4 linked regions of the Drosophila melanogaster genome follow. Changing the gene in region 3 together with the main gene of any one other region gives a genetic interaction. Each region holds a gene or a part of one and is shown on either strand. Other genes may lie near its edges.

Region 1 (7,626 bases), on a different chromosome or scaffold from region 3:
GTCGAATGGATTCGAGGCAATAATGGTGTCTCCGAAGCCTCCCATTGGCGGAGGGGGCAGCAAATCCTGCGGTGTGGGTGGCGCCTGCTGCTGCTGCATGGAATTCGCAGCAGCTGCTGCAGCCGCCGCCGCAGCCACCGCTGCAGCGGAGTTGGCGGCACTTGAGGTTTTTCGCCGCTTCTTCGGATTGCTCGGCGCCGAGATGATGTCCGTGGGAGGCGGCGGCTTAAAATCGGGCGGACAGAGTCCGCCCGCTGGACCCGGCAATCGATATGGCGCCATACCAAGATTGTGGGTCATATTCGAGGTGTTCTTCTTCCGAATGGTGGCAGCTTTTCTTCAACGGCGTGGGGCAAGAAATTCGGTTGTAGCGGCGTCGCCAATCCCGCGCAGGAGATCTCGACGCTGGTAAAGGAGTGGGTTTGGTTCTGATGTCCCTAGGGAGGTGGGCACAAATCCACTGGATCCTTCGGTGACCAACTACAATGGGTTATGCTTGGTGGGCTTGGGCTTTCTGCCGGTTATCCGGCCTGCGACCGCCTGGAGTTTGAGTTCCTGGGAGTGTGAAGGGTGCCAAATGAGTATCTGGCATCCTGTGGGTCAGTCCTCCTCAACTACTCACCAAGACATCTCCTGGCCAGGACCCTTATGAAAATCGCGTTTTTAAAGCAACTGACTCCCAAAACGCAGGTAAACACTTTCGGCGCAACGAACGGCAACCCCGCTTATTTTTCGGGTTGGCAACTCTACCCTGGAAACCCAGCGTCGTGTTGTCTCGTTTCAAAGCGCCAAGCACCTGCCGCTTCTCAGTTTCTTACTGATCCTTGATCACTTCAGGTCAGGAGTTCGTTTTTTTAGCACTCTGCACTGCGGTTTGCCACTAATTCCCCTTCATAAACCCTTCAAAGGGCGCTTTCTGGCAGCGCTCTTCTTCTTGCCAGCGATTTTATGTCCTCCGCTGCGCTTCCCGTTCCGTTTTAATTGCAGTGCAGCGCTTAACTGTTGTTTATTTACGGGTTCTTTTTGCGTTTGTCTTTAATCGGAAAACAAAACAACCGGCGGTTATTTCCCAAGGAAATTGTGTTAGGGTTTACGCGATTTGTGAAGCCTGCGTTTTCGGTTGGCTTTTTGTTGATTTGATGGCCACTGCAGCATCCACTTTTAATTAGCGCCGTTTATAGGAGCGGCACACGCACGGATTACCGTTACGCGGATTCGGCGGTCCGGCGGACTGACCACTGAACCGTTATATAGCAGCAGCACATTAACCTTTGTTTATTTTGACCAATTTTTGCGTGCGAAGAAGCGAAATATAAATAATTTTCATTGCAAGTCCGCCAGTGTGACCGTTTGCGCACGTCAAGAGAAATGCCGGAATTCCGTCGGCGGCTCAGTGTGGCCAAAGCAAGCCAGCACGAAGTAGTTTGCAACTACGTTAACATTTAAAAAGTAATAGGTTTAAAGGAGAAATTACGATTTGGACATACGTCATTTAAGTAATAAATATAAATTGCGTAAACGTATTAGCCCCAAGGTCAATACGTAGTGTGTCTTCATGCCGCCAATCGTCTATCGATATGCGGGTAATGTTATCGGCAAACTCTCAGGCGACGCTTGTTTATTGGCGGTGTTTAAATAAAGAGTTTAAAATTGGCAGGTTTTGCACATTAGGCTAGAGCGGATTGAACAGCAATGTGGAGCAACTTCGAGGCGTCCTCCCTGGAGGACGAAACCATCTCCAACATATTTTCGTCGCGAGGCATCTTCCAAATAAGCAGTGAAGAGGAAGTGAGTCCTTATTGTGCAGAATCTGCAGTTGGGTTTCTACGCTCGCCTTCTTTCATTGTCAGGTAAACAAATATCCAGATGTCATGGCCTCCGTGCAGTGCGGCAAGATGGTCATTGGCATCGACAAGAGCCTTTTGCTCCTGGAGGACGAACTGGTGGCCAAGTGCAGCTTTCTGGCATTCGGGGCAGCCATTGAGGCCATTGCCATTTCTTCAAGCGGCAACCTGATTGTATGCGGCCTCAGCGATGGCGAAGTTCACGGAGTGTTCATCAAGGGCCTGCTCCTGTTCAGCGTGGCCGTCAATCTGGAGGACGTGAGCCTAACTGGCGGGACCTTCCGGAGCATCCATCAACTGGATCAGCGGTTTTACTTCACCTGTAAGAATGGAAGCATCTATAGGTAAGCCATTCACAGAGATGGGCTCTGGCATATGCGTGATAAAACTGGATCTTGACATTATTTCATTAAACGATTCAAACGCTGTGTAGCTTAAGCGACATTGATGAGACCTGCTTGGAAACGTTAGGCAATATGAGCCTGAATGAAAACGAAACTATAGCTTGCGAAAAGGCCCTGCTCGAGGACGTCACCATTCAACGTCTTTCCAAGGGCAGATCCTCGTGCAGCGTGGACTGTGCAGTGCTGCTCAAGCGGCTGCTGACCGGCAACATCAGTGCCGAGAACAATCAGGATGATCTGGAGGCGCAACCCGGTCTAGTTATCACTGGAGATCAAAGCACTATGAACTTTAGGAATGCAGCCAATGACGTGACACGAATAAATTTGCCCGCTCAGTACGGCAGCCTAAAGCAGATCTTCAACTTGGAACACTATATGTGAGTGGGTTTGCTTATTGTGGTGCTAGAATCCCTCTAACGTGTATCTGGGTTTTGCAGTATCGCACTCACCGATTCCGGCCACTTGGTGGAGATTTGTCCATACACTCGCACAGTGTACATGTGTCAAACTACCCAACAAAAAAATCTGCTCATCGAGGATCTGCTGGTTATGGAGTGCAGCGAAGATAACATTGAGCTTCTGGTGCTGACGAAATCAACGGCGGAGGGACGCTTCATTAAGATAGTGGAGTACCCAAGTATGAGTCCAGCAAACATAAAACATAAACATACAGTAAGGCTAAAAACCTTGTGTCATTGCAGCGCTCAATGTGAAGAACGAGGTAGAAGTTCCTGATCACGCATGGCTTGTGCGTCAGCCTAAGTGTGCGGTCAATCTGTATTATCTGGCTGCCAAGGAAGTCAACCAGAGCAGCATACCCTCCGTGGTGGAGATGATGCTCGTTTCCGAGACCGACCCCAGTGATCGTTTTAAGAAGCTGATTTGCAAGGGGCGACTGGAGGAGGCTGAGGTATTGAGTATAATTGATCTCTTAGTCATTCATTATCCATTAACATTTGCAACAGGAATTTGGCAAGCAGTTTGAGCTGTGCCTCCAGCCCATCTATGAAGCCAAAGCGAAACGCATTTTGGTCGAGCTTTGCAACTCGAATTCACAAAACGTGGACACTAAATTCCAAGACTTGCTGCAACTGCTGTCTCAGGTGGAAAGTAAGGCATTCATAAAGAGCCATCGCATGATCAACTTGAACTCGAGGCACATCCTTGAGCGGTATCTTCACGAGGTCAAGAAGCGGTTGACTTTTGAGGACGACGAGGAGGATATGTTGGAAATCGACGAGCAACTGCACCGACTTAAAACTCTGGCCATAATAGATCCCTACGAATGCAACACGGATTGGCAGAAGTTTATTTACGATAACAACTTGGTCAGGATGGTCAAGTCGCTATTCAACACAGATATGCCCACGGCTTGTCTCATTTGGCGGCGGCATTCGAGCAGCATTCTGCCGCTGCTAAACGAAGATGAGTTGCGCACGCTTTTAGGGTTCATTCCGAGCAACACCAAGCCCTTCAACGTTGTCCAGTGGTTGCGTCAGTTCATTCCGATGGTCAGCAACACCCATCCTAGCATAATGCCCTTTATCACTGACTGGAGTATTGAGATGACGCGGAATCTGCAGTATAGTCCGCATTGGCCGGATATCGGCCTGGAGTTCTGCACAAAGATACTGGACATTTTTGAGGAAATCCAGTTTACTTACTCGTAGGCAAATCCTTTTTTCGCCCTAAAATATGATAGATTTAACTTGTATATCCGTTTCAGCGATGTGCGGCGTCAGCAAGAGCGCAACGTTGGAAAACTGCGGGATCTTGTCAACGCACTGCAGGATCTTTCTGTGCTTAAGACCAACTATAACATGGGCTTTACACTGGACAACTACATGCAGGATTCCATCGACGCCACTGCGTTGAGCATTTTGCAACACGTTCAACTAGATAAGCTTCAGCGTCTGGTGAAGAACTTCATGTACCCGATCTTCCAGGAGAAGGGACGGCAGCCACTGGACGTGATTAAACAGTACATATCACAGTTAGTAGCCAGTCGGCTATCTTCTAGTTCATGGCTGGATCGGGCGATGGCTTGCATTGAGCTGCTTCACAACGAAGACAGCCGTTTGGAGTGCGCCTTGTCTGTGCTGCAAAACGCACCTGTGCCCTGGCCTGATACACTAGCTCCTCTAATCCGGCTGCGTGCCTCCACTCATCCATTGGCCGTGAAGATCAATGCCGAGTATGAGATTCAGGTGATTAAGATCATGAAGGTCAAGTACGGCTGGCCGGCCGACAGCTCCGATATCAACCTGGAGCTTTTCATGATGCGCATTGTGAAGTTGAACCTTCCGGACATGCTGGACGACATCAGCGCCCTCACCAAGGCGGCGCCGGAGTTATCAACTAGTGCCAACTTTAACTGCTGCTATCAAATGGCACGGAGAGGACAAGTTGAGATGGCTTATGAATTCTTCAAAAAGCTGAATGGTGAGAAAAATTCGAAGAGCGCGAAGGAAGTGGTGGAGATCATGGCTAACATCTTGGAGAACAGCTCCTCTGCTTCGTTTGAAAGTGATATTAAAGTGCAGGAGCACCTGAACGTCCTTGAGCTTTTTAAGTTGTTCTTGCCGCATGTTGAGTCCGTTTATGAGCGCCGCTACCTAGTGATCAAGCATCGTTTCCGCCTAAGGAAATTCGGCATCCTTTTGAGCTGCAGCAGCGAGCTGATACCGCTGCACAGACGTCATTGCCTTCTGGATGAGGCCATTGAAAGGATAATTGAGCGGGCCCAGGCCACGCTGAATGTGTCCGCATTCATAGCCAGCGAAATAAGCGAACTGTGTACCGCTCTCGGTCTTCCGAAAGTATTTGGTTTGCACCGCATTTGCCAACGCATTGGATGCCTGCCCCTCAGCTGCGCCCTCGCTTATCATGTTGTAAGCTTCGTCGACTGTGTGCCCGCCAATGCAGGCGAGTTCGTCAATCTTGCACTTGAGCTGCTGGTTCAGCAAATTGAAAGCGCCAAGGGAAAGAATCAGGGTAAGTCGTATACAGCTATGCAACAATGGGATTGAACGAAAAATCCATTTATGTTTTGCAGAAACGGCCTCCTCCCTGCAGTTGATCAATGAAAACGATCCGCTTAGCTTTTATTTAGCGTACGAGTTGCTCACCTCCGCCCTGCTCCACGAGAGCAGCCGTCGTCACGATCTAGTTGAACTCATCAAATACATACGCGTGGCCGTAATCCACTACCCGCTAGACGCCATTAAGAGTCACTACGACGGCAAGGAGCAGGCCGTCAACGAGCACATCTGCCGGGCCCTCGATGGGATTTCGGTAGCCCTGGGCGAAACCACAATAAACTTCAGTTGTGCTCTTAACGGATCCTTTGACGTGAAGACTCTGACGGTTCCAACGACTACGAAGAAGCGCTACTCGGTGTCCATGTTTGATGAAGTAGAAGTGCAGCCTATCCAGCAGCAGCCTCAGAAGGTATTGATCGTAGACAGCTATAATTGACTATAGTTATAATGCTTTCTGTTGTCTTCGAAGAAAAGCGTCGGAGGTCGCATGGCAATAGTGAAGTTCTTGGCTCGCACTCTGTTGCTTATGGTAATCGAAACGGAGCCAAACAACTCATTGCTGATGCAGGTTCGCAATGAACTGCCGGAGAACACAAAAGCGGATGTCGAAAGTGCTTGCGCTGACTTCTTTCTGTCACTGGAGCACTTGACGAAGGTGAAGGAGCACGACGCTTGGTACGTTATGTCGCAATATCTGCTGGATTTCCAGAAGCAAAACTGTCGCACGAAGCGGATCATCAACGAGGGCTTTATTACGCTGCAGCTGCGCCGCATATTCCGAAATGCGATGGGGAGCAAAGATGTGAACTTCATAGAGCTTTTCACCATGTTGGTGGTGGACAGCGAGGCACTAGCGCTGCTGGAGAAGCTCTCCGTTGAAGTAAAGACCGATCTGCAAAAAATCAACTTCCTGACACTATCCGCCATGTACCACGAGCATATCGAAGACTTGGACAGTGTGCACATGATACGCACCAAGTAAGTGAAGTATTACATTAAAAGTCTAGATGTTAAACTTCGTTTTATTGGTTTGCAGGAGATTGAAACTCTTCTATTACCTGGAGTTTTGCCAACAGGATCATAGAATAAAGGGCAAGTTCAATGCCGACATGGACAACATAGAGGACCTGCTTAAGGAGTTTCACAATAAGCAACTTGACGTTCAGCTTTTGGAACGCATGAGCAAGGACTTTGGGTTCGACTACCAAAAGATTCTTATTACCCAGATACTAAGCATATTGAGCGCCCAGGAGTTGCGCTTCGAGGTGAAGAGGGATACCTTCGGCGACGAGGAACTGGTTATGCTAAGCAGCGCCCAGGAAATGCGCGATATGTGCCAACCGTACATTAATGAAATCAATAATGTCGAGCTCTTTACTTCCAAGTTAAAACACTTTATTGAAGACGTAAGCTCACTGATGCCACAAATAATCTTTTTTTTAATATCTTTGCAAATCGTTTAGATCAACATTTACTTCTACGAGTTGTACATGTGTGTGATCAACATCCTAATGTACTTCGATTCGGCTCCGAAGGAAATGGAAATCTGGATGAACATTTTGCACTTCCTGAGACACAAGATGATCACCAGAAGACGCAATCGGCCAGGTCAGGTGGAAACCGACACGTGGCTGAAATCACAAAGGGAAAATGGCGTTATGCCGAAGATATCTCGATATCGTCTGCCTTTTAAGCCCATCGTAGAGCAACCTCTTAAGGATATTCTTGGTATATTCAACTGAAATAGTTTAATGCTTAATGCTTCTGTTTAATTATAGTTTCCGCTTCTTCTATTCAGACAGCGAACTAAACGTGGACAACTGCCAAAGCTGGTTTCCACTGATTCAGATGTACACGGCTTTGAAGGGATCCAAGGATAGTTCCCAGAACTGTGACTACTTCTGCATGTCAGCAGTAAAGAATTCGATATCGGAGTACAAGTCGAAAAATGATTCGGAATCATGGAGTCTTCATCCCACGAATAATGCCTTCCTGCAGTCAATACTACGACTGGTCGAGAAGGTGAACAACCCAAACAAGGCATTTCTAATACTGTACTTCGTGTCCAACTATGCTCGTGATGGAGCCGATCAGGTGGAGGCCTCCTACGAGTGCTGGAAGTTTGTCAAGGAGAAGGGCCACCTGATTACAGATCCAAAGAGTCGCGAGCAGGTTGCCAAGGTGAAGCGACGGTATCCTATTCAGAAGACCCAGCACCTGCTGTATGTCTATGGCCTGACCGATGAGAAGCTACTGCGCCAAGTTGAGAACCCCACCGAGCTTATTCAGGCGCTCTACCACCATGAGCTGATCCTCAAGTCCAGCAAAGTGGATATT
Region 2 (5,134 bases), on a different chromosome or scaffold from region 3:
CAAACATACACGAGCAGGCGTCCGATATGATACTGCGGGCCTCGACGATTTTCGAGGACGTCAAGCACGACGAGGCGAATGTGGAGAATGTGCCCCATCACGGAGTTGAGACTGAGCCTGAGGACGACTCGCACTACGGCGGGAACGGCAACTCTAAGATCCGCATAATGCCCAGTGTGAAGCTAATGGCCACGACGCTCGCCTCCGATCCCAAGCGCAAGTTCGTCTGCCCGTATGACAACTGTACAAAGAGCTACGGCAAGAGCTCCCACCTGCGGTCCCACCTCACCTGGCACACGGGCATCAAGCCCTTCGTCTGCAGCGAGCCCAAGTGCGGCAAGGGATTCACGCGCTCCGATGAGCTCAACCGGCACCTCCGGACGCACACCGGCGAGAAGCCCTTCGAGTGCATCCAGTGCACCAAGAAGTTTTCCCGCAGCGACCACCTCACCAAGCACCTAGCTACCCACGACCGCCAGCTAAAGGGCAGCACCCCGAAGCGAACAGTACCGAGCAGCAGTGGTGGAGTCCGGCTCAAGCCCCCGAAGAAGCAGATTCATTCGGAGTCGGACTCGGGCTTCCACTTCATGGCCGCCATGGTTGGTTGCGGGGAGCCGAGCATGAAGCACCACCACCAGCAGCAGCAGCATAACCAGCACCAGCAGCCCGTGAGCATTATCGACATCCACCACAAGCCGATAAAGATTAAGCTGGAACGGCCGGAGCACAGCGACAAGTACCAGATCGTATCTCCTGAACACCAGATGGATAACCATGGCCACAACCAGAGCCAGTTGCCCGATTTCCTTAACCAGGCGAAGCCCGAGGTAAAATACGAACCGACCGAAGAAATTGTAAATACCCTCTCTCAGCTACCGCCGGCGGACGGACCCGGCACGTATGGGATGCCCCAGTTCGTTCAGGATCGGCCTTTCTACTGCCGGCAGTGTGAGAAGCGGTTCAAGCGGCAGGACGACCTCAACCGACACATACGAACGCACACCGGGGAGAAGCCCTACGCCTGTCAGCAGTGCTGTCGCCGGTTTGTGCGGAGCGACCACTTGAAAAAGCATCAGCAGACGCATTTGAAGATACGATAGTTTCATAGTTACTCCTTACTCCTTAAGTCGCTAGCCATTGGCATCCGCATCCAATCGATATTGGCTACCACACGGGCGTGTGTCGGGTGACGCACACAGTACAATAAAATTAAATAAATTCGCAATCTAACTATATTCCTATGCAAGATCAGCGCCGGCTCTCAAATCTCAATTTGTATGTATGTATGTAAATAAGTCGTATGCAATTTAATTTTAGCTCTAACTGTTTGTGTTTGCCGGAACGTGAAGACATACATCTGTATTTCTGAAACTCTTGCTGTTTCTTATTTTCTGGCTACTAAGCTCCCCGTATCTATTAATATAATTTATTTTAGTAAAACTGTTATTTATATTTATGGGCTAATTGATGGGGAACTGATAGTTCATCAGGATCAGGACTCGATCCAGTTTGAAATTTGGAATATGATTAATAATGGCCTATAAGAATGAATAATAGATATATGTATAATTTCTGATAAATCAAAGATTCATCGACTATCGGTTCGGTTGATAGAATCGACTTATCGATAACAGCATTATCATCACCATTGGCGTTTGATTCAGAGTTTCAAGCAATGTTTTGCACTGTTTAAAATAATTACACACAAGCGATGTGCGACTTTGACGCTTTGTGGGCGGATGTACTGAGAATCTTTCCGGTTTTGGGTGGAGCGGTAGGTTTATTCCTTCGGTTCAGTAATAGGGATTGGCGCTAGCACTCAGAAACTCTTACAGAACGCTGTATCCAATGATCCGGTTGAGGAGAATGTATTCCAAAATGTTCGCCAGCACCTGATGGTGTTGGGCAGCATAGACACCTTCGCGGCGGTTGTGGACCTGGAAATCCAGTCGACTATTCGGAATGTCCTGGTGCCCAAGTTCTGGAAGCACATCCACGACGGCTTGGTCTCGTCTAAATTGCAGGGCTGGATTAACGACCAAGCTCTGGCCATAGAAGCACTGCCCGATAAGAACGGACTGTTCACCCAGTTCATCGACGCCATCAATGAGCTGCATGACAGCTTTCAGAGCCTGATGCAGGTGAAGCCCAGGCTGATCCAGCTAGTTGGAGCTGAGACAAAGCCCACCGCAAAGACGGTGAAGCTCATGCAGGAGGAAGGCATTAAGAACTGCTTAAGGGACTGCTTGCTGGCTCAACTGCCACCCAATTTCAGTGTGGTCGTTGGGGCCTTCTACTGGGTGCACTTTAAGCTCTTCACCAAGGCCTCAAATCTCGCATTGACCACAGTTGGTATGTATCCGATACATACTCCTGTGGTTCCCATGCTCACTTGCTTTCCCCTTCAGACTCTGATGTTTTCGATGAGCTCCTCTGCGTTGGCTGCAACTTCGAAGCAGAGCAATGCTGCTGCCAAAGGCTGACGGATATGGTTAACAAGACAAACATGAAGCTCTTCGAGATGAACCTCATTGACCGTCTAACTGGGAGTGCTTTAACCGCTCTCATCAAGCTTAAAATCAAGGAGCACATCAGCGATACATGCATGGGAATCTTCGACAGAAGTCATCTTAAGCAACTGGAAACTGTAAGTTGAATGGGAATACCTTCTGTTGTCATAAATAAACTACTTAAGTAACTCATTTATTACCTACCTTTGCAGTGGCTATCGGATGTCATAATGTCCTGGCTCACAAACATATTCACGGAATGGAAGTCTAAGGATAGCATAAGCGATATCGAAGTTCCCGAGTCTGTAAAATCCTTCAAAGTCAAACTGACTTACTTTATGTACGAAACGTTTGCCCAAAGCGTTATTGGTCAGTTCTTCAGCATTATAATTGGTATGTGCCCGTAGATTCAGCCAAGAGTCCCCCAACTACATGTATTTATTTGTAAACAGACTATCCCGATTCCATTCCGGCTATAGATGACTTAAAGATTTGCATGGAGAAAATAGATATGCGAGTCTACCTCACTGAATCCCTTAGGAACTCGCTAGAGGCAAGGATTCTGCATCCTGGAGTCAACACCATGGACATATTAACGGGTTACGTGGCAGCCATCAAAGCTATTCGCCATCTGGATAGTACCGGAGTCATCTTAGAGATGGTAACTGCTCCAATCAAAGATTACCTGCGGAAACGAAACGACACAGTGCGACGCGTAGTCACTGGGTTGACTGAAGAGGGGCCCACGGACTTATCCGAGGAACTCGCCAAGGGAGAAACAATTAAGGAATGCAAGGACTCGGGTACCGATGAGTTCAGCAACTGGGAAAATTGGCAACCCGATCCGTTTGGTATAGATGCCAGCATTATGCAGTACAACAGCTCGCGGAAGATGAGATCGGCCGACATTATATCGATGGTTGTAGACATATACGGCAGTAAGGAGTTGTTTATGACAGAGTATCGCAATCTAATGGCGGACAGACTGCTGGCCCAGTTAGATTTTAATTCCGAAAAAGAAATTCGAAATCTGGAACTGCTGAAAATCCGCTTTGGCGAATCGCTGCTGCACAGCTGCGAGGTGATGTTGAAAGACGTAACCGACTCCAAGCGAATTAACGCGCACATCCACAGCGATGGCGACCGAACTGAAAGTGAGTTACTTTTAATTTTCAAAATGCTTTAACGAAACCATCTCATTTTAGATCAGTTGTTCGACATCTCCTCGCTGATTGTTTCTGCTCAGTTTTGGCCGTCCTTCAATAAAGAAAGCCTCCAACTTCCTGAGGAGATTGAGAATGAGTTCAAGAAGTACACCAAGGCCTACGAGGCATACAAGGGCAACCGTACGCTCAACTGGCGTACAGTGACTGGCCGTGTAAATATTGAAATCGAGATCGGTGACCGGACCATGGAAATGGTTGTGAGCCCCATTTTGGCGGTTATTATATACCACTTTCAAACTAAGAGTACGTGTTTACAGGGCAGTCAAGTTTTACAGTTTTACAACCGCATGGTCATATTTTTTTTTCAGATGAATGGACTATCGAGGATCTTAGTTCCATTACGAAAGTTCCAGCGTCTGCACTGCGGCGTCGTCTGAGTTTTTGGCAAAACCACGGATTGATCTCGGAAACGACACCCGGAATATTCACGCTGCTGGAAAAGGAATCGGAGAAGTCTCAGTACGAGGACATGAGTCTGGCAGAAGCTGACGAAGAGGATTTGGAATCCGCAATGGCTTCTGCCAGCGATCAAAGGGAAGAAGAACTCCAAGTAAGTGCCTTCAACTGTTCCTAATTCCGGCTTTTTCTTATACAATTATGCCGCAGGTTTTTTGGTCCTATATTGTTGGAATGCTCACGAATCTTGACTCCATGCCAATTGACCGAATCCACCAGATGCTGAAGCTGTTCGCCTCCCACAGCGGCGGAGTGGAGTTTACTCAGGATGAGCTGAAACACTTTCTCCAGCGAAAAGTCAGGGAGCACAAGCTAATATTCTCGGGTGGAGTTTACCAATTGGCCAAATAAGTTTCGGAGATCCAAAACCAAGTTGCAAACGACTGAAGGAATCATGAAATAAATAATGAATTAACGCGATAACATTTATGAAATTTACTGCTCCATGTTAAACGTACCTATTTTTTCAAACTGCCGTCTTATCTGTTTCTATTCAGAGCTTATCTCTCACCCACGTACACACAAAGTCTTTACCCAAACTTGTTTGGCTTGGGAATTTGGAACACAATGCAAGCAATCTTATGTGAAAAGAAGAACACACAGTAAAATACGTCTATTGCTTAATTTATTTCAAGTTATATTAAGGTATATGCTAATCCCGTTATCAACAAATTCAAACTTCTTAGGGCTCTAAAACTAAAGGCGAAGAAAAGTGTACGTGGTTTTGATATACTTTACAGGTTAAACAGTTTTTGGCTTCATAAAATCAATCACGAACGCAGTGGCTAAATCGATCACTTTATACACGCAAACAACTTGGAATTTAATGCTGTAATCGTTCTAAACTGTAATCTGTACATCAAAAGTTACTTCAGGTATGCGGACCAGCTAGTCCTCGTGCAAGAATCGAGCTTGGTAGACACGATCTCGGTGAACTGGAGT
Region 3 (7,869 bases):
GGCAGCTGGAAGCGGTGCACATACGGCTCCTCGAACTCCTCGTAGTGGGCCACCAGGCTGTTCTGGTTGCAGCGCAGCTCGATCAGTCGGATGGGCCTGCTGGAGCGAATCTCACGCGTGTCGCGGTTCAATTGTATGCTGGCCGCCTCAAAGTCGACGGCAGCCGTCTGCTCCAGCTCCAAATTCAGCCAGCGATGATGGGCCAGGATTACGGCACAGTTGCGTGCAAAATAGAAGCTATCGTGGCGTCGCTGGTTGTGGTAGTTGTCCAGCAGTTGGCTGCTTGGCTGCAATTTCAGTTTGGTGAGGCGGGCGCGGTTGCCCGTTGCGGCGCCACTGCCGGCGGACGAGGAGGAGGAGGAGGTGGAGCTGGATGAGGATGATCCGCCCTCGGATGAATTAGTATTGGCAAGTGAGCCCCTGCGGGCGTCCACAATTCGCTGCGGCAAATGCTCCGTGGGCTGGTCCACGGTCAACACGCGATTCAAGTAGTCGAAGCCCTGGCCCATCACACCCTCGCTGGTGTGGCCCAGATCGAAGCAGTGGCCCAGTTCGTGGCACACGGCGCCCAAGGTGCTGGCATAGACGCCGCCGTACGTCCGCCGATAGTTGCTCTCGTCCGGCAGGCGGGCGATGTCCACCCGCTGGGCGCTGCGCACACAGTCGCCGATCTCCGCGAAGCTCGTGGGCCACGCGTAGAAGTGGGCACTACCAAAGAGCGCCAAGCCGCCGCCACCGAGTGCTGCGTGTCCCTTGAGATGCCGCCGGATGTTGGCGTACGAGGAGTCACCGCTGGCCACCACTGCGTCGCCGTCGTAGCGCGTGCAGCCCACAAAGGCGACGAACTTGAGGAGCAACTGGTGGCCCCACTGCGGACAGGCGATAATCTCGCCGGCGAAATGCTGCCACAGCTCGTCCTCGCTCTTCGCCAGCGCCTGTTTCCGGGTCAACTGGCTGCGGAAGGCGCAGCACTTGCCGTTGAGCGTGAAGGTGCGGTTGGGAAAGCCCGCCGCGTGCAGTTTGTGCGCGTAGATGGACTGCACCAGCCGCAAATTAAGATCGATGAGGGAGTGCACCTCGTGCTGCTGCGCCAGCGTCTTCTCCTCGTCCTGACAGAGCAGGTAGAGCGGCTGCACCCGGTAGGAGCTGCGGCGGGGCCGGTAACTGAAGCTAATCGTTCGGGTGGCCGTGCAGGATCGCAACTCCAGGAGGCAGGCGCTCTCCTCCTCCTCCTCCTCGCGATTCGCTTGTTCCAAGTCGAATAGGAGCTTAAACTCGCCGCCGGCCGACAGCTGGGTGAGCTGCTCCTGGGACAGGTGCTCGGGCAGATCGAGGATCGCCTTCAGTTGACGCGCCGTGGAACACTTGGGCACCAGGCGTCCCTTGACCAACAGCAGGCTGTGCTCCAGGCGCTCCGACGTCAGCGGCTGCTCAACCTCGATGCTGTGCGCGCGCTTGCAGCCGGCGGTGCCGCTGCTCATTGCCAAATTCTGGCCAGGATTTCCGGTTCCGTTTGTCTGCTCAAATCAAAATCCAGACTCCGAAATCCAATTGGAAAAGCCGAACAAACGCACTGTGCTGCCAGACCGGGAAAATAACCGGTACGCCAGCGGACCAAAGCTGGTTGCTACAAGTGACCAACCGGCATTGTAATCGATAGTAAAAGCAATCGAACTGTTATATTTTATATTTTTAAAAATAGGCAAAGCCATTTCTCTAGCATTTCTTTCGGTATGACTTTATGGCATATACTGGTAATTGTTTTGTTTGTCGCGATTCTGGTCTTCCTATCGTTATCGGCCTTTTGATAGCTCTCCTCATATCGAAGTACTGCAGGCCCGATAGAATCAGGCACTTATCGCCACCCGATTTCGATGACAGTTTTTAAATAATTGTGCAAATTCCTTGCTAATAATAAATTGTAATCAATTAACTTGTCAATCGCAATTCTGGATGCACCTGGCGACGCGGACATGATCGCCGTCGCAGAACCGCCGCTGGAGTTTGTGCCGCGCGGCCGTCAGACGTCCGCGGAGCATCCGGGCCCACATGACCAGCCAATGGCGCGCCACCAACTGCCCACCACGGAGCATCTGCTGCTGCAGCGCCTCCAGAATGTGAACATCTCGTCGGCCGGTGAGGACTGCCCTTCGGGCGGACAGGAGTCGTGGACAGTCCGAGAGCTGTACGATGACTACGAGGCATCCGAGGAGCGCGCCGCCCTGCGACGCAAGTTGACCGAGCGGACAAAGCGATGTGGTCTCCAGGCCACCTCGCTGCCGAACAGACTGCTCAATCCACCGCTGGTGCGGCGCGTGGAGCCAATGTGCGACTATATGGTTAACAACGAGGAGGAGCTCTATGTGAACCGGAACACGGTGGTGTGGACACAAGGCGTCAACGATGACGACGATACCGACAATGGGGTGTACCGGCGCATGTGTTTCACCACCGATACGCCGGTGCGCTTCGCCTGCTTCCTGAATCGCAGTTTTGTGCGCGGGCGACTGGCGCAGCTGAAGGCGGCTGTCCACCCGGATGACGACCATTTGACCGCCATCTGTGTGATGGATCAGGACGCCCTGCGGGTGTACTGCAGCAACGGCGAGGACTTTCTAGCCAATCTGGACTTTCCCGTGTCACAGCTGTGGCAAACCAAGTATGGCCTGCTGCTGGAAAAGGACTCCAGCAATGCCTTGATATCGCACATGTCCATTCCGATGCCGCGTCTCTTCTCTATGTCGCATCCGCTGCACGAGGCCTGTCCCGTCGTCCTGAAGACGGCCACCGGCTCCACCGGCTACATGACCGAACCGGAATACACTGTGGTCTTCACCACCGAGGAATCGGATTTGGTGATGCTGTACGATGCCAAGTTCTTTAAGCATTTCGTTGCACGCCTGCGTAAGGTAACGCCCGAAGAGATCAACTATGTGAGTCAGCAGATGGAGCTGGGACAGACGCTAATGGGACCCAGGTCGATGGCAGGCAATAGTTTCAGTTCCACCAAGCAAACTGGAGGTGAGTTGATAGCAATGCCAGCAAGGGCATACGATTTATTCACTGTCTATCCATTGCTAGCCACGCCAAAAGCAACGAACTTATCGTTTGCGGCCAGGAATATCAACACCACCACCACCGGCATGGGCAACCAGTTCGGACTCAGCCAGTCGCAGTCGTTCAGCGGAGTTCTTGGACAGTCGAAGTACGTTTAAGTCGCTGTCATCCATCACTTACTTATTATTGCCTCTTCTTCCGTTTAGTCGCGCCTCCCTAGGCACTCCATTGAGCCAACTGCAGAGCAGTATTAGCCAGCAGTCCATGTCCGTGAAGGATATGCGCAAGTTAACGCACGTGAAGCCGGCAAAACCCATTGAGCCGGAATTGTGTATGGAGCACATCTGGACGGAGAACATCTACGGAACGTCAGTAAATGCCACCAAAGATGCCACTTTCAGTACTAAAATTGTCTGTCTTCCTTAGTCAACGAGAGTTCTGCGAGATGGCCACCCGAGCATTTATCCACACGGATTTAGTGGGTCAGACCTTTTTGTGCTACCTGCTGGCCCGCTCGTGCCGCCTTCAGTTGGTCCGCCTCACTGGCTATGGAAGGGGCGAGGTGCAGCTCTCCACGCACGCCTCCACGCTGGCCGCGAAAGATGCAGTGGGTCTGAAGAGAATGCACATGATTGCCGTTCTCGATCCGAGTGGCAGCTTACTTCTATACACAGGCACCGTGCTCATATCCAAGGTGCACATTACGCCGTTTTTGGCGCCTACCTCCATTCCCACACCGCTGGTAACGCCCATGACTGCTGCCCCATCTCCGTCGGCTTCGCCCGCTCCGTCTCACGTTAAAACACCAATGGCAGCTGCTGGACCAGCAAGCGGCATTCCGTCCGGCAGCAGTTCTTTCGTGGAGGTGCGAAGGAGCAGCCTACTGCCCACAAAAGCGCCGGGGGATGTGGCTGCCTTCGAAGAGGAGCTGCACATGCTGTCGCCCATCCAACCGCAGCCGGTGTCCTACACACAGCGGCAGGCGCACAATGTCTGCAAATCCCTGAGAGATCCGGCGGGAAATCGATTGACTTTGGTTTATGCCACGGGCAGAATGCTCAGAATAGCGCTGCCATTTCTAAATGATACACGATTGCTCACCAGATGTGTGGCTACGCTACGGCAGGTTCTAAGTCCGACCCAGTTCCTGGACTTTGTTATCCGTTGGTATAGCGACAGGAATCCGCCGGGATCGAGGAATTACTCCATAGAGCAGGAATGGCTGCTATTCCGCTCCACACTGCTCGCCCTAATGGGTCTGACTGCTGCACCGGATGTGGATGCGGGCGAGAACTACGCTAGATGTGCCACGCCACCGCTGCACACTCAATTTGGAGGCGGCGCTACTGCGACGGAATCGAGTGACGGTTCTAGTTGCAGTTCCAATTCTACACTGGGTGGCCAGGATGAGCCGAAGAAACGGCGAATATACAATGATTGCGATGATTTCACGGACGACGACTGGGAGTTCCTGCTGCTCCAGACGACACTGGCTCCCTGCGGAGCCGATGGCCACAGCTACAGCGTGAACATCGGTGCGCTGCTCTTCCGAATGATTCCCGCCATCTTCTTCAGCCTGCATTTACTGTACGAGGATCTCAAACTGGACGCTGACTTTTATGGAGCGCTTCCATATCTGGCAACGGTAGGTGAATCATTTAATAGATCCATTAGTGGTTTTCTAACACCATCTCCTCGTTCCAGTTCCTACACCAGCTGGCCATCGATATGCAGCTGGAAAGTTATGTGCTGCACTACATACTAGACTTTCCGGAACTCTCGAATCGTACGGGCAAGCTCTCGTTGCTGGGAGCTGAGCACGGAGCTATGATGCTGCACCAGGAGCTTCTGAGGGTTCCGGCACCCAGTGTGTTTGCCCAACTCGAGCACATTATTGTCGGCGAGGAGGAGGTGATGCCTTACACCTTCTTGGAGTGCGTTAACGAGAGAAGTCGCATTTTACTGCAGCTCGTATCGCTGGTGACTCATGGGCATGAGCGTCTGAATTACTGGTGGCAGCTGCTTGAGATCCCCGGCGCCGTTCAGGCCAACTTTACGCGGCGCTCTAAGCGTAATATCACGGCGGATGCTCCGCGTAGCCATCAGATGTTACAGCTACTTCTGGCCATGCGCTTGACACGGCGAGACATTGAAAGATTCCCGGCGGCAGTGCATCTGATTGTAGCGGAGGCACTGGAGGAGGCTCGCCTCTCGCCGCCCATGGGCTGCAGCATGGCCACCTATGAACTTATCCTGCGTCCAGAATTGGCGGCCCACGCTCAACTGCCGTTCCTCGAAACGAGCACTGGGCAACCGCATTGTGGCCGGGTCTACAAGGAAGATTCACTGTCAGCGAGGTGTCCGCCGACCGGGGGATCAGAAACTGATTCACCGGCCCAATTGCGCCGCGACGACATGGACAACATGGACACAAAACTACTGCGTCTGCGTTTTCCCGATGACATGCGGGTGGATGAAGTGCGCCGTCTGCTTAACAGCTCGGAACCGGTGGTCATTGAAGTGCAACAGGCACCGGGAACCAGCGATCACGAATTCATTGAGGAGCAGGAGAAGCAACTGTTTGCACTATGTTCGCGCACAATGACACTGCCCGTGGGCAGAGGTATGTTCACCCTGAGAACGATGTTGCCGCGGCCCAGCGAAAGCTTGACCATGCCCAAATTGTGCCTGTTGGGCAAGGAGCCGCTGAAGGGCACCACCATCGAAATGCAGCAGATCGAATTCCCAGCGAATATGCAAATGTGGCCATCGTTTCACAATGGCGTGGCCACTGGCCTGAAGATCTCACCCCAGGCTCAGGACATAGACTCCAATTGGATTGTCTACAACAAGCCCAAAACGCATTCGCATAATGCCCTGGAGCACGCTGGTTTCCTCATGGCCCTGGGCTTGAATGGTCACCTAAAGACGCTGTCCTTCATGAGTGTCTATAAGTATTTGGTTAAATGCGATGAGATGACCAACGTTGGTCTGCTGCTGGGCATTTCCGCTGCCCATCGCGGCACCATGGATACGAAAACCACAAAGTTGTTGAGCGTTCACTTGGAGGCACTGCTGCCAGCCACCGCCATGGAGTTGGATATACCGCAAAGCACACAGGTGGCTGCTATAATGGGCGTCGGTTTGCTCTATCAAGGATCAGCTAAGCGCCACATAGCCGAGGTGCTGCTCCAGGAGATTGGCCGTCCTCCAGGCCCTGAGATGGAGAACAGCATTGAGCGCGAATCGTATGCCATGACAGCAGGTCTATCCCTCGGATTGGTTACCCTCGGTCAGGGTGAATCGCCGGCGGGCCTAAGGGACCTCCAACTGCCGGATACCCTGCACTACTACATGGTCGGTGGAGTGAAGAGACCCATCGGCGGTTCCCAGAAGGAGAAATACCGACTAGCCTCGTTCCAAGTTCGTGAAGGCGATACCGTCAACATAGATGTCACTGCTCCGGGTGCAACGCTCGCATTGGGACTTATGTTCTTCAACTCGGGGAACGCAGCTATTGCCGAATGGATGCAGCCGCCGGATTCGCGGTATCTACTGGACATGGTGCGGCCTGACTTCCTTCTGCTGCGCACAATTTCCCGGGGCCTCATCCTATGGCAGGATGTCCGGCCGGACAACGCGTGGTTCCAGGCACAGTTTCCGCGAGCACTCCGAGCTCACCTAAAACTCCCGTTCTACGAAAATGAGTATGCACCCGAGGACTATGACGTGGACTACGAGGCCATCTCGTGAGTAACTGAAGTTGAATGTCAAAGTAATTAGATACGAATTATATACTCTTGTCCAGGCAAGCCTATTGCAATATCATGGCTGGAGCTGCCTTCTGCATTGGTCTCAAGTACGCCGGCACTGAGAATCTGGTGGCCTTTGCCACGCTGCGGTCGGTGATAAAGGATTTCCTTCGCTTCCCCAGCAGGCCGATGGGCGAATGTGCCGGTCGCACCACTGTGGAGAGCTGCCTGATGGTGCTGCTCATCTCGATCTCGTTGGTGTTCGCCGGCTCCGGCAACTGCGAAATTCTTCGCATAATTCGGTTTCTCAGGTCGCGAGTGGGACCACAATATCCGCACATAACCTACGGCTCTCACATGGCCATACACATGTCGCTTGGCCTGCTATTCCTCGGCGCGGGTCGCTTCACCATTTCCCAGACACCGGAGTCGATTGCTGCACTGGTCTGCGCCTTCTTCCCCAAGTTTCCCATACACAGCAACGACAATCGGTAAGGATTAATATATTTGCAGCAATGTGTTAGCACACTTCACCGCATGGATTTACATTTTAAGATACCATCTGCAAGCGCTGAGACATCTCTATGTACTGGCTGTGGAACCGCGCCTGTTCCTTCCCCGGGACATTGACACCAATAAGCTGTGCCTGGCCAACATATCCGTGTTGGAGGTGGGTGCCACCGAGCTGCGCCGCCTGCCCATCGCTCCCTGCATCCTGCCAGTGCTGAGCACCCTGCAGCAGGTGGTGGTGGACGACGAGAACTATTGGCCAGTGTGCTTCGAGCGATCGCGCAACTGGGATCAGCTGGAAAAGGCGCTGGAGATGAGTGCACCGATTGATATTAAGAAGCGAACGGGCTGCCTTTCCCACTTGGAGGACCCGGACAGGCTGAAGAGCATGCTGGCCCAAACATTGACGATGGAACAGAGCATCTGTTGGCAGATCGATATGAACGACCTGCAGCAGTTTGCCAGCGAACGTATGGTGAAGCAGTTCCTCAGTCGCTGCCTGGACACCAAAGGCACGGATTTGAGTCCCCCGGAGCTGATGAAGCGGCAC
Region 4 (6,112 bases), on a different chromosome or scaffold from region 3:
ATCTGAAATAAATTAATAATTAAATTATAAATAAATTGCATTTCAATAGCTTTTAGAGGGATGTTGAAAATTTGCGCTTTTTGTATCTCTCACCTAGACATCTGATCGCTGGCCCCTCTTTGCGCTTCCTTCTAATTGCATTGCATTGTCTACCACACACAAACACACGCGCGCGAAAACTGGGACCGCCCAGCCTTTAACCCATGCCTGCCCACCGCACCACCCTTAACCCTTTTGGCAGTGATTTGCGAAAAGCGCGCGCGCACAAAAGTATCTCAAACGCTTTTTTCGCACACTTTGCAGGCATTTTAATGCACAGACGACCGAGAAAAAAATAAAATAAGAGCCGATGCTCAAAGCTCACTTCTTGGAATTTCGATTTACAATTTAGCTCTTCACTTTTTGCTGGTCCTGTGATTTTTTTTGTTCGTTATGCTGTTTTTGAGGTCCCCCGCTATTGTTGTGCCCCATTCCCATTTCCATTCACATTGTTGCTGCAATTTCTTTCTCCGCAGCCTATTCTCATTCTTTATCAAATTTACCCACTCACACACGCACACACACGTGTGTGAGTGTGCTTTTGCATACGCTTTTGATTCCGCTTCCTCCGCTTTGCCCTTTTTCTGGAGCCCGGCGATATCACGGTGGTATTATCTGAAATCCATAATTGCGAGGCTATAATTGGAATGAATAAAAGCATAAAAACTGGATAAGAATTTGGTAAGTAAAAATGAAAATAGCAGAACAACTCGAGCTAGAAACTACTTTTAAATAGTAGTAGTAAGTTCACAGATTTACCTCTAGTATATGTATTTTGCCACACTGTGCGCTCGGATCGCTATGAATGAGATTGGTTCTGAGCTTTTTCCTTCCCTATGCGCTTTTTTAACTTGTTCAAAACCACTTTATGATTTCTGCGTCCTTCTCGTCGTTTTGTGCTGGTTGTTTTCCATAAAGATGATCCTCTCGGCTCTTCCTGCAGCAACAACAAAAGCTGGCCAAAGGAATTCAGCGGAATGAAACCGTAGCTCATTTGGTTGGTGGCTTCGGCTGTGGTTGGTCCCGAAATCATTTACTTTCGCCTGCTCTTCAAGCGGTGTGAATGATATGGCCTGGTTGCACTGGCCTGTCCTTCATTTGTTTGCCGCGAACCTTACAAAAACACACTCGAACTGCACAGCACAGCCCATGGGTGTTCGCAAACCCCCAACCCTCCTTAGTGAACCCCTCGGATCCTCCAGAATGACTCCCGCAGGGCATCGGCGCATATGTAACTCGATTTTTGCTTTAACTTTGCCGCGATTGCACACAAACGAGGGGCTACAGTGGAGCTTCGGCGTGGGCAACTAGTCTGAGCTTCACATTATCGATTATTGGTCATATCGCATGGTTGACATCATGATTTTCCACGTGTTTGCTACTGTTAGTAGTAGTTTATCTAGCTTAAGATCTGTGTTTGTACGGATTCTCATTAAAGACACACGGTCCATCGTGTAGAGTGCTACCTGTGAATGGATCTCTGTGGCTGGAAGCTTTGCTCATTTAACGACATTGGCGTCTACGTCTGCAGAACACAAAGGAGCCACGCCCCCTCCACGACCGCCCATCCCGCCGGTGCGGCGATCATATGACTGCGGCCACTACCTGCTGATATGTAGTTTTCAGGGAGGGGTTACAAGGGGGGACAGGGGGCAGCAGGAATGCGTGGATCTCACATTATTACCTGCAAACGACACAATCGATGCCGCCTTGAAATTCTGCTTAAAGATTCGCGCAGTTCTTCAGCGTTTCCTCTTCGCTTCTTGGGGCTCCACACTATTTTCACATGTGTTCGGTTCGGAGCCTCCTCGGCTCCACTTCGGCTCCAATTGTGGCGACTTCGGATCCCCTTCGGCGGTACGCGTCGCGGTATAAAAGCTCGCGCGCCAAAATCAGTGGCCTCCATAGAGCTGGCGACCACCAAGGCGCCAGATTCTCCTCGTTTCTCGGGACATTGGTATTCGGTGCGGGATTTTGCGATAGGGGAAGTGCAGGGGAAAGGATTCTACCTGTTGCCGGCACTCTTGTGCTCCACATGAGCAGAGATTTCCAAAACTGAGTCCATATGATCCTGATTCTCCCATTTTCCCAGTTTTCCTTTTCGCATCGCACATGGCTCTGGCCCCGTCCCCGTTATGTGTGTTGGTGTCGCTCGTTGCCCGTCTCCCTTCCTCTTCTATTGGCACTTCTGGGAAGGATAGGAAGGAAAGGATAGGATGGGAAGGCAAAGGAAAGGAGCTGAGAACTAAGAGCTAAAGAGCGAAGCAGAGAGAACAAAAAACGCGCGCCATCTCGCTCGCGCCCATTAGCTCATCAGCTGATCGTGATCGGCCGGGGTGCGGTTATAAAAACCAGCTGCTCGGCATATTCAGCACATTCGTTCTCAGTTCGTCGTCGAGTCAACAGCTCTTCTTGTTCAGCCTTTCGGTTCCTCGTTCGGTGAATTGAGATTGTGCGGTTCAAATTATTGAAGAAAAAGAAAAACCTCGCACAACCACACTCCGAAATACAAAACAAAAAATCATGCTCAAACGGACACATTAACAAAAAAAAAAAACAAAAAAACCTAAATTAACTAAAATGCAATACTAGCCAAAAACCAAGGACTACCATCTCAAATTCTAAAAACAAACTGTAAATGAGTGCAGAGTGACCAAGAACAAATTGTGTTTTAGCAATTTCTTCGGCTTCAGACTCGCCAGCGAAATCAAACATCTTCGGCTCTTCGAAGCAACCAACGCAACACATAACACAACAAAACCAACAAAATGCTGTGGGAAACTATTGTGGAGGAAAACAACTGCAGCATGGATTGCAATATCAGGTAATTATGCCGCCCAAGGATTAGCAACAGCAAACCCCTTTTGCACCAGGAATACCAGTTGAAAATACGCGATAAAAAGTGCAAGTTCAAGAGCAACAGCAACAACAGCAAAGCAAAAAAAAAATACAAAAAACAGAAATGTAAACGATGGGGCCAACAAAAGTAAGAGTTCTTTTTATCACGCTCGGCACGTTTGCTTTTTGCCCGATTTTTATTTTGGCGCTCAGCTGTTGTTTTGTTGCTCGCTTGCCGTTTTTCATTCATTAAACCGGCTTCCGCGAGGCTCCAAAAAAAAGCAGCAGCAAAAAATGCTTTTTGTCCGTCGTCCGTCAGTCAGTCATTTTTTTTTTTTCGATTTTTGTTCCTTTTTTCCTCCGTGTTCTTTGCGGTTCTTTGTGGCGTGTTTTTGTTGTATTATCGCTGCGCTTGCGTGACGTGTGACCCAAAAGCAAAAGTCAAGCTGAAAAGCAGATGCATGCGAAAAGCAAAAGGGAATTCCATTTGGAGAACCGCTAATGCTTAAGTAGAATCAAGAAGAAGAAGATAAGGCGGTACGCAACGGTTCCCTCGCAATTTTAGGGAATTGTAAAAATTATCAAAAAAAAAAAAAATGGTATCAATGATATCGTGTGCGCAAGTCGAATCCCAAAAATTCCAGTTTTCGAAGCTGCATTAAAGTAAATTTCTAGTTCAGCTCCCTCTTCACCCAATTACAACAACCCCTCTCTGTATTTTCTCGGGTATTTTTGTTGTTTTTACACCACCAACGCCACCACCACCACCAGTTTGTCAGTATTTTTAGCTGGGTTTAATGACCCGCTCTTGCGAGAGTTTAGGGAAGCAAAAGCAGCTCTCTTCCTCGATGCCGAACAGTTGACTAATCCTCCCCCTCTCTTTGTTTGCTCTTGCAGTAATAACACCAGCAGTTCGAGTAGCATCAACAAAATGAGTGGATCTCGTCGTGCTCGCCGTTCCCTGGAACTGATGAGCATGGACCAGGAGGAGCTGTCGTTCTACGACGACGACGTTGTGCCCCAGGATCAGCAGCGATCGGCCAGTCCGGAGCTGATGGGTCTGCTCTCGCCGGAGGGCTCGCCCCAGCGCTTCCAGATCGTCCGCCAGCCGAAAATTCTGCCAGCTATGGGAGTATCAAGTGATCACACGCCGGCGCGCAGCTTCCGCATCTTCAACAGCCTGTCCTCCACATGCTCCATGGAGTCCTCCATGGACGATGAGTACATGGAGCTCTTCGAGATGGAGTCGCAGAGCCAACAGACCGCCCTGGGCTTCCCCAGTGGCCTAAACTCGCTGATCAGCGGCCAGATCAAGGAGCAGCCTGCTGCCAAATCGCCAGCGGGTCTGTCCATGCGCCGCCCTTCGGTCAGAAGGTGCCTCAGCATGACGGAGAGCAACACCAACAGCACCACCACCCCACCACCAAAGACCCCAGAGACTGCCCGGGATTGCTTCAAGCGCCCGGAACCGCCAGCATCGGCCAACTGCTCGCCCATCCAGAGCAAACGCCATCGCTGCGCCGCCGTTGAGAAGGAGAACTGCCCCGCACCCAGCCCACTCAGCCAGGTCACGATTAGCCACCCCCCTCCACTGAGGAAGTGCATGTCCCTGAACGACGCCGAGATCATGTCCGCCCTGGCCCGCTCCGAGAACCGCAACGAGCCCGAGCTAATCGGCGACTTCAGCAAAGCCTATGCCCTGCCCCTGATGGAGGGTCGTCATCGGGATCTGAAGAGCATCTCCAGCGAAACAGTGGCTCGCCTGCTTAAGGGCGAGTTCAGCGATAAGGTGGCCAGCTACCGCATCATCGACTGCCGCTACCCCTACGAATTCGAGGGCGGCCACATCGAGGGAGCCAAGAACCTGTACACCACCGAGCAGATCCTCGATGAGTTCCTCACCGTCCAACAGACTGAGCTGCAGCAGCAGCAGAACGCCGAATCGGGACACAAGCGCAACATCATTATCTTCCACTGCGAATTCTCCTCGGAGCGTGGACCGAAAATGTCCCGCTTCCTGCGTAATCTGGATCGCGAGAGGAATACCAACGCCTATCCGGCGTTGCACTATCCCGAGATCTATCTGCTGCACAACGGCTACAAGGAGTTCTTCGAGTCGCACGTTGAGCTGTGCGAACCACATGCCTACCGCACCATGCTGGATCCCGCCTACAACGAGGCCTATCGCCACTTTCGCGCCAAGTCCAAGTCCTGGAACGGCGATGGCCTGGGCGGTGCCACCGGGCGGCTAAAGAAGTCGCGCTCGCGACTGATGCTGTAGGTTGTGGGATGATCGTGCAGTTCGTTATCTAAGTTTGGGTGTTATCGTATTGTATATATAGACGTATAGGGGTATTTATTTCATGCTGCTTTTAAGTTGATTTTTGTTGATTTTCATTTGTTAATCCGTAGACTAAGTTTCTCGCACACGACGCAGACACACACCCGACACTCGCATTCATGCAAAACAGACAATTTCATTTGGAATTTAACGCTTTTGTTTAGTTATTATTGTTTTTATGGTTTCGGCTTTAGTTCAATTATTTAAGCACTCTAGTTCAAATTTTAAAGATAACCAACGAACAAGCAAACGAAAAATGTGCATTATAATCTAAAAACGTGAGGAACCATGTCATTTAAATTTAAGAGGCCGATCCCGAAATCAGACCCCTTAATCATTTGTAGATGATAAGCAGAACAAAAAATGGCTAAAAACAAAAAAAAAAAAAGAAAACAAATATCACACAAAAACAAACACGCTCATTAATTTCATCCATAAAACTTTATTTATAAGATCTATCGTTTAAGAGTTGAAAGTTGTAAACTTCTGCTAGGTACAATTTACGCTTATTATTTGTTTATTTTTATGTAATCCGTAACCGAACAACAAGGCACCGAAACGCAAATGCAAACAAGAAAACAAATATTTTACCATGTAATGATTATTATTTAAGCAAAGCTTATTTTTGCATCAAAAAAGGCAATATTATTGAACAAAGACCATCAATTTTAAATATACATTAATACACGACGAAAAAGAACTGAAATTCCTGGAATTTTTATCATTCAAATGGCGCCAAATGCGCATTATGTGCGGGATTTCGGTACTCTATGGGTTTTCACAGAATTAACAACTTGAAATTGGCGCGCAAAGCGAGTAGTTGCACTTTGTAAATGTCAGAGGGCGCTGTGTCCGTAAAAAATTGAGTATAACAGCGGCGACTTTTTGGCAGAC

The links.
Region 1: of shtd (region 3) and rod, changing one suppresses a phenotype caused by changing the other (phenotypic suppression), as found in Drosophila melanogaster (one study listed by BioGRID).
Region 2: of shtd (region 3) and mr, changing one suppresses a phenotype caused by changing the other (phenotypic suppression), as found in Drosophila melanogaster (one study listed by BioGRID).
Region 4: of shtd (region 3) and stg, changing one suppresses a phenotype caused by changing the other (phenotypic suppression), as found in Drosophila melanogaster (one study listed by BioGRID).

Annotation. Positions count from the first base shown.
Region 1 is NT_033777.3:31,579,331-31,586,956, forward strand, and holds the start of rod (rough deal), read left to right. Parts: upstream 1-1,620; 5' UTR 1,621-1,692; coding exon 1,693-1,788; intron 1,789-1,850; coding exon 1,851-2,188; intron 2,189-2,277; coding exon 2,278-2,625; intron 2,626-2,685; coding exon 2,686-2,885; intron 2,886-2,949; coding exon 2,950-3,158; intron 3,159-3,213; coding exon 3,214-3,914; intron 3,915-3,974; coding exon 3,975-5,242; intron 5,243-5,303; coding exon 5,304-5,698; intron 5,699-5,758; coding exon 5,759-6,267; intron 6,268-6,325; coding exon 6,326-6,695; intron 6,696-6,752; coding exon 6,753-7,017; intron 7,018-7,087; coding exon 7,088-7,626. Other genes in the region: pygo (pygopus), read right to left, coding at 1-300.
Region 2 is NT_033778.4:23,970,798-23,975,931, forward strand, and holds mr (morula), read left to right. Parts: upstream 1-1,633; 5' UTR 1,634-1,711; coding exon 1,712-1,774; intron 1,775-1,835; coding exon 1,836-2,352; intron 2,353-2,408; coding exon 2,409-2,647; intron 2,648-2,722; coding exon 2,723-2,903; intron 2,904-2,962; coding exon 2,963-3,664; intron 3,665-3,715; coding exon 3,716-3,979; intron 3,980-4,044; coding exon 4,045-4,286; intron 4,287-4,342; coding exon 4,343-4,543; 3' UTR 4,544-4,611; downstream 4,612-5,134. Other genes in the region: CG3065 (uncharacterized protein), read left to right, coding at 1-1,100; PPP1R15 (protein phosphatase 1 regulatory subunit 15), read right to left, coding at 5,081-5,134.
Region 3 is NC_004354.4:15,456,440-15,464,308, reverse strand, and holds the start of shtd (shattered), read left to right. Parts: upstream 1-1,867; 5' UTR 1,868-1,973; coding exon 1,974-3,021; intron 3,022-3,081; coding exon 3,082-3,205; intron 3,206-3,263; coding exon 3,264-3,425; intron 3,426-3,483; coding exon 3,484-4,702; intron 4,703-4,761; coding exon 4,762-6,806; intron 6,807-6,865; coding exon 6,866-7,300; intron 7,301-7,364; coding exon 7,365-7,869. Other genes in the region: CG6294 (uncharacterized protein), read right to left, coding at 1-1,481.
Region 4 is NT_033777.3:29,251,624-29,257,735, reverse strand, and holds stg (string), read left to right. Parts: upstream 1-1,935; 5' UTR 1,936-2,807; coding exon 2,808-2,863; intron 2,864-3,774; coding exon 3,775-5,158; 3' UTR 5,159-5,593; downstream 5,594-6,112. Other genes in the region: CG45544 (uncharacterized protein), read right to left, coding at 839-1,072. UniProt on the Drosophila melanogaster protein: This protein functions as a dosage-dependent inducer in mitotic control. It is a tyrosine protein phosphatase required for progression of the cell cycle. It may directly dephosphorylate Cdk1 and activate the Cdk1 activity.